Linked DNA regions of Drosophila melanogaster. The gene in region 1 interacts genetically with each later gene. Each region holds a gene or a part of one and is shown on either strand. Other genes may lie near its edges.

What was found.
Region 2: of Listericin (region 1) and PGRP-LE, changing one suppresses a phenotype caused by changing the other (phenotypic suppression), as found in Drosophila melanogaster (one study listed by BioGRID).

What each region holds. Positions count from the first base shown.
Region 1 is NT_033778.4:11,241,188-11,243,792, reverse strand, and holds Listericin (listericin), read left to right. Parts: upstream 1-1,598; 5' UTR 1,599-1,626; coding exon 1,627-1,992; 3' UTR 1,993-2,048; downstream 2,049-2,605.
Region 2 is NC_004354.4:15,800,653-15,805,796, reverse strand, and holds PGRP-LE (peptidoglycan recognition protein LE), read left to right. Parts: upstream 1-1,916; 5' UTR 1,917-2,470; intron 2,471-2,706; 5' UTR 2,707-3,089; coding exon 3,090-3,288; intron 3,289-3,357; coding exon 3,358-3,657; intron 3,658-3,720; coding exon 3,721-3,834; intron 3,835-4,049; coding exon 4,050-4,114; intron 4,115-4,186; coding exon 4,187-4,546; 3' UTR 4,547-4,644; downstream 4,645-5,144. Other genes in the region: CG15602 (uncharacterized protein), read right to left, coding at 4,901-5,144. UniProt on the Drosophila melanogaster protein: Peptidoglycan-recognition protein that plays a key role in innate immunity by binding to murein peptidoglycans (PGN) of Gram-negative bacteria and activating the imd/Relish pathway. Has no activity against on Gram-positive bacteria.

The sequences.
Region 1 (2,605 bases):
TGAGTAGATGCATTTCACTATAGACGTTCGCCAGGTGAATCATCTTATACGCTGTGTATAAGAGCGGAGTCTTCCCATTTTCTGTTTCCAGGTGCTTCTGGGATTGTCTCGAATTATTATATTTGCACTAATTGATCAGCGTTTCGCCAGACATGGAAATCTTTGCCTTTTAATTTAATTAAGTGTGGCTAGACATCTGCCAGTTAGTCAATCTTATCAGGCACTTAATCCACGCGTGCTATTATATTTATATATACATGTATATATATGACTTAGCTTTGATTTATAATGAAATATTAACGAATTCAAGTCAATGGGTATCGTAGAGCTGATATTATGTGTTTACTTATTCATGTAATATAATTTTCATGGTCTGAAGCAGGAAAATGATTGTCCAAATCATAAGACGATTGTTTAAAACAATATAATTTAAGACTAAACTATATTGGTTTTCCAAGGTTCAGTGCTACCGGGTAAACGCCTATTTTTGTTTTTAAACATATACAAGTCTGGCTCTATTCATCTTACAACGAATGAATTTAAGTACTGCAATAGTTATGGAATTTATTATTACCTTGAGAGTAATGGTGAAAAGCACACTCCCTAAGTCAATTTTTCACGGCCTAGCCGGAACTTTTAACTACAATATTTATTGCCAAGTTAGACTGTAATAAAATATTGTAATTTAAGAAGGAGTGCCTTTTAAGTATGTTTCTTACGCCACGAACCAGTCTATGAAGATGATATATGATTTGTTTTGTTAGAAACTGTTACGTTTATTTCGTTTTTCCCGCTCATCTGTAGATCATTGTTGTTCGCTTATTTTTGGACTGACTCGAATGCTGGTCACCAAACGGGTTTAAGATTCTCACAGAACCTTTAGATATTTACGCCTGAGAATTTACTGTGCTTCCCCAGGTCGACAAATTTAGATAGTAAAGTAAACCCAATCCTCTGGTAACATGCAGTTAATAAAGTGCGCAAAATCAATCTTGGGTCACTGATCACTTAAAATGTGTTGACTGGTCTGCATTCAACCGTAGGAGAAGTAAATCCCCATTCCGGGGGCTGGTCTCAAAATGTGATGGTAAAGATATACACGGAGAAAAATAAATCTTACATTTCTAGCTGCTTACAAATATTCAACGTCATTGAAAAAGAATATCGATGAATAATTTGAAGTAGCTTCTTTAATGAAGAATGTTGAGTTTTACCAAAATGTGAAATAATTACTTAAAATTTTGTTTTTTCGAAGACTTCCAACTGACGACTAAGTTTAAAAATCAATATATTATTACCTTATTAAGATTGAGCTCTAAATATAATTTAATACAAATGTACTATTATTACTCGGTTTTTAATTTTTATAATTTTTTGTAATTTCTGGAAGAATTGGGGGGTTTGTTTTCGACACGTCTGGGATTTCCGTTGACCTCAAGTTTTGGTGAAATCATCGGCGTCATATAATAATTGCCCTACGGGTTTAACTAATGATACTTGGAAAGCATATATAATGCGCTATAGAACACTTGCTCTTCACACGGGACATCCCCGGGTTATTTGCCTATTTATATAAAAGTTGGAGCCCAGGGTGTTTCGATTGCAGAAAGTGTTTGATCGTCCAATATGAAACAGTACCTGGTGCTTGCCCTCGTCTTTGCGGCCATTCTGGCCATGATCAGCGGCCATCCTCTGGAGGAACAAAAGATCACGCTGGAAGATGCTGAAGCACAGCCGGGAATCGATGATGGCACTGGAGTTAGGGCCGCTCGTCACTTTGGCGGCGGCTTTGGCCGCGGAGGATATTGCTGTGGAGGAGGCGGTGGCTTCCGGCGCGGTGGTTTCGGTGGCGGTGGTTACGGTGGCGGTGGTTACGGTGGCGGTGGCTATCCAGGTGGCGGCTTTGGCGGATATCCCAGAGGTGGATTTGGCGGCGGCAGTGCATCAGCATCGGCGTCAGCTTCAGCCAGTTCCAGTTGGGGACGTAAATAAAAATAGTTAATCACTGTAATTGAGGCGAAAATAGAAAAAAGTCAAAAAATGAAAACAAAAACATGGGACTTTTCATTGGGTGGCAATTGAGGGACTTTCGGTGTAAAGGGCGTGTCGGTTTGCTTACGCACTTAATCGCAAAAAATACAACGTAATCAAATGGAACCGGTCCGTAAACGCTAATCAATGAATACGATCCAAACACGATCGATATTCTACTTTTTCCACAAATGAAAAATCTTCCAAAGATTAAAATTCCGATAGTTCTAAGCCATTTAATTAAAAATAGCACATCTGGACCATAAATTTGTTGGTTTTTGTTTATAACATTGATCGCTAGATATGATAACTGTTGCGAAATGCTTGCACAACTGAAAGGAATCGCCAAAACTGGGATAATGTAACCTGTTTTCGAACAACACACTAATTGCCAAGTCAATAAAAAGCTAGTTCGATTAATTTCCAGATATGTGGGGTTGAGACAGGGTTTTTGCGGTTTTGTTTTGATGCACCCCCGACCAGCCTTGCGATCGATTTCTTAATGGAAAATTACCCCCAAGTTCCTGGCACAACATTTCACCAGAGGAGTTGAACTCCAGGTGGCTTTTGATTC
Region 2 (5,144 bases), on another chromosome or scaffold:
ATAAGTGTATCGTGCGTTTTTAGTTTCCCCTGCAGGTTGAATTATTGTTCTTTTTTTTGGATTTACTTTCTGGTATTTACACAGTGGTAATGGGAGTCGAGTTTACACTTGGTCGATGTTTACCGAATCTAGTCGCTCGATTCGATTGTTCGACGGAATGGGAATTGGCCACCATATCATTGATTTAAAGGCGTTAGTTAAGGTTGTTCTGATATCAGACGGATTCCTTAATAAATGCACTGCAAAAAAAAAAGCAACGTAATTATAATCGTTAAGGAGGGGGAACAATGGCTTGGGTATTATTTGTTTATTTGTATTTATACGTATTTTTTTTTTTTTTGCTGGCCCAACTCGCTTCAGTAGTTTTCCCGAAGACGATGTGCGGGTGTTTTTTGTGATTATTAATTTATTTATTTGTTTTTTTTTTGAATGGGGTGCAACAGTTGTGCTGCAATCAGCACAAATAAATCTTTGTGGGTGATTCATAAGCTGTCAAATAAACGCATACAGCACTGCACAGCACAGCAAAAAAAATGTTGGAAAAAAAATAAAAATAAAAACACGATGTAGAACAAAATATTGGTATTGGGCAGAATGGCCGAAAAGCGCTCCGAATTACCTGCGCATTAACAATAACGGCGCGAATCGGATAGGGATACTATCCAATCCAACACTATCCAATCCCAATCCACTCCACGCTCTCTATATGTAAACTTAGCACACACGAACGCAAATTTACACTGGCATACATGAAATGCAATTATTATTATTATTATTATTATTATTATTTTTTTGTTTCCACGGTCTGTTTCAGATCCGGTTGCAGCTTATGCGAAGCTAATTAAACTAAAACTATAACTACAACTTTGTTTACACAACACACCGCTGGCCGAATGCAACGTCGAATTGTGCTAAAGCGAACCCATTATTTAAGATTTCATTAAATCCGCGACGTTTTTTCCTCCAGGGCACATCATCTGATGTTGATGGTTTTTCTCAAACTTTGCGCTTATTTTTACCGGCACACGGCGCAATCTGTTTGGCTTTGGACTGGGTACGAACTTGTACTTGTACGGTACACCGATAGAACAACATATCCGACGGATAGCGACGAACAAACGGAACGGGATGGGTTTGGCGGATGGCGGATGGTGGATGCGGATGTGGATGGAAATTCGGTACGAGAAGAAAAAACCGCAATTCGATTATATCTTATGGCTGGCGTTTGTTTTAATTTTAACTAATGTTAACTAGCTCTCGCAATCGAAATAACACAGACAGACGCAAGCGATGGCATAAACAGAACTACCAATAAGAAATTATCTCAAAATGTATTTCAGGCAAAAAGTAAAACAGTAAAAGCTCTTCTCATTGAGCATTCGCATTCGCACTCGGCTGCTTCCATCGAAAAATTTTTCGAAACTGAAAGCAGAAATATATTTTTCTGGCCATTCCAATTCGACTCGAAACTCTCTCGCTCTCTTCCTCGCTCTCTTTGTGCGCGGTTCCAATCGGAACCAATTGTGGAACCTAAGAGAGCGTTAATTCTAAGATTTTACATAAAGAGAATCCGTTTTTCTCTTTCATTTTCATACATTTTTATGTTTTCTCTTCCCCTAAATTATGTTAAAAGCTTTAATACCAAAGCTTCACTTTATTTGACAGCTGATTCAGCTGAAGGTGATTGCCGCCCTTTTTTGAACTCCACTAAAAAATGCCTATTTTGGTATATTTGATTAGGTTATCTGTTGATTACAATATATTTAAGCTGTTTGTCCAATTAGCGAAGATATTTAAAAAGTTTATTTCACTTTTTGATATGCTTTTAATTTAACTTTTAAATTAGACTGTGTTCCTGTTCGGAATACGGTCACACCGGAACAAAAACATAAACAGACCTTTGAATGCATTCCACTGTGCAGTCAAAAGTAATAAATATAAGCTCCTCAGTTTTATACGTCAAACTATCGCTTAAGCAATGTATAAAATTAGTTTATAAGTTGGTTACATTTTAGTTTATTCTCTTTTAATGGCTCTAAGTGACTATTAAATCCGTGTTGTGGTAGCTCTTTGGTTGGCTTGAATAGCCAGCAGTAACTAAATATAAAAATAAAGAAAGTAATTGAGAGACTTGGAGGGAAGAACAGCGCATACGCGAGAGTGGTCGAGTGAATGTTTACAGCGCATGAATTAGGTTTTGGTGGTTTATCTGAGTACCTCTAGCCCCATGACTAATGCTTAAAGATGGGCTGACTTGGGTGTAATCACCTGCCTCTACAGGTTTATTATCAAACACGGTGCAGTGTTGCAGTTAACTGCTTAGCATTAAAGCCCAATATAGGCAAGAGTGTTGGAAAGCTCATCTTTTCCAGCACTGGGTGCATTGTACCTCCAGTCGATTTGATTGGTGAACCAAACTGGTTATATTTTAGCCAGTGATAAGGGGTTTTCGGATCTGGACAAAGCATTTGTATGTTTATATATTTATATATATTATATTTATTTATTTATATATATTTATTTACTTATTTATTTATTTATATATATTTATATATTTTCATAGAACAATATATATATGTATACAGAAATATATGTCCAAAACGGTTAAAGAGGGATAATTTAAACTATTTTTTTTTGTTCGTATTTAAATTTTTGTAAGCTTTATATGGTTAATCAAATACTTATCGAAATCTGAAACTCAACTAGTGGATGCGGCCCACTGTATGTACGATACCGCTAAGCTCCCTTCAAAGGCAGTGGAATTGTTCTAAATGCGAACATCGATAATACTTATCGATATCTAGACTGATCCTCGATATCCATGACAATAATTAATACACATGACTAAATATGCAAAAAAAAAGCCCCAAGTGGACTGATATGCAAAAAAGCATTTCACCACGGCACCTGCGCATATAATGGTGGATAGCCTGTGGAACGTCCTTATCTTATCGTGTAAGGTGGACACGACACGAACACTAATCAGAGAATAGAGCAGTTCTAACTCACAATATTGATAAACAAAGTAAGGGCCAGCCGAGAGATACACGCGCATTTATTGGCAGCAAACAGAAGCCAAAACTACGGACATGTCCGAATCGGGAATCAAAAAGTTGAGCCAGGAGCGGACTCGCGAATGGTTGGCTAGTCAGGAGGACGAGGAACTGGAGTCCATTGCAGAGTCCTCGGTTGTGGACAGCTTGGACTACGATTATACCGAGGAAGAGGAGGATGCCGACCAAAATACCAGTGAAGAAATCAGCACTATGACACTAGGCACTCAAATCGGTGCGTAGTACTCAAGATCAAGTTTCTATATTCAATTTATAACACTTTCAATATATCCCCACCTTAAAGCTACCAAAAAGCATTCGATCATCAGCGACACCATAAGGGACCTTATGAACTCGATCAACAGCATTCAGACTTTGGGCAACGTTAATATAAGCAACTCCACGAACGTCCATATCGGCAATGTTACCAATATTAATGGAAATATACAAATCATAGCCGATGGCCTTACTCAAAACCGAAGAGATCGGCGGCATGTTTCACCACCGAGAGATAACGCTCCCAAAACTCCGACACATTTCGAAGACGACTATCAGGACGAGTCGGAGGAGAGGGTGCGCTCGGATGTGTTCATCAGGCGCCAGAGTAAGCTATCATTCACCAGGGGATGCATACACGTTAACCATAGGATACCGATTTCACTTACAGAATTCAAAATACCCAAGGAGCTGTCCGCCATCATTCCGCGCTCTTCGTGGCTAGCACAGAAGCCCATGGACGAGCCACTGCCCTTGCAACTGCCTGTTAAATATGTGGTTATCTGTGAGTATTCAAGTTTGCTGCACGTTTTAACCATTTTTTTGCCAACTGATTATAAATCAAGTTGTCTGTAAAAGTATGACGCAATAATTAAAACAATTTATACTATTTGATCTGACCATCATGCTTAGCACTCACTAACCTAAGATTATATCGTATTATAACTCTTTTCGAATATATTTAAAACCTTGATTAACAAATATTGTTTTACCACGCAGTACACACAGCTACAGAGAGTTCAGAAAAGCGGGCGATCAACGTAAGACTTATCCGTGACATGCAGGTAAGTATTTCGTTAGCGAAATTAAATCATATATGCTCCGAACTATATAATAATTATGTATATATATTTCAGTGCTTCCACATTGAGTCGCGGGGATGGAATGACATTGCGTACAACTTCCTGGTCGGCTGCGATGGCAACATCTACGAGGGACGCGGATGGAAAACGGTGGGCGCCCACACTCTGGGTTACAACAGGATCTCGCTGGGGATCAGTTTCATTGGATGCTTCATGAAAGAACTCCCGACGGCAGACGCCTTGAATATGTGCCGCAATCTGTTGGCCCGCGGCGTTGAGGATGGTCACATATCCACCGACTATAGATTAATTTGTCACTGCCAGTGCAATTCGACGGAGAGTCCTGGTCGGCGATTGTACGAGGAGATACAGACATGGCCCCACTTTTACAATATCGAGGAGGAGGAACAATGAGGGACAAAAGAAGAGCACCATTTCACATACTTAGACTTAAATGCACCCGAGTTACGTTTATAATGTTGAACATTAAATCACCTGTTTATAAATTTTCCAGCTACTGGCAGTTTCGTTAAGTTACTTTATATTTTGGTATAGTTTTTGCAGCGCTGAAAGGTGGAAAAACCACAAGATGTTTCGGAACCAACATCGCCTACCTGTTTTAATTCACAACTGAAAGAGAAGCAACAATTATACTGCACAAATATGAGCGAGCTAGCACCACATAAATACAGACAATAGTAATGCATTTGCTGAAAACAATCTATAATTAAACAAAAATTTGCGTACAGTCAAGTAAACAATTAACAATTAGAAGTGATTTTCTTTAAGCTTTGGCGGAGCCGAATACTTTTCCTTAACGTGAGCACGGTACTCCTCGTCATCATCGTGGCACTCCTTATAGCATAGAGTGCAAAAGAGTTCCCCACCACATCCGTGGCATCGGAAGTCGGCGTCTTCGTTACAAATATTGCACCAGGGCAATTCTTCGGTGTTGCCGGGCGACTCAGTGTTAATTGGACTAATTTCACTCTCGGAAGGTTCTGGTAAGCGC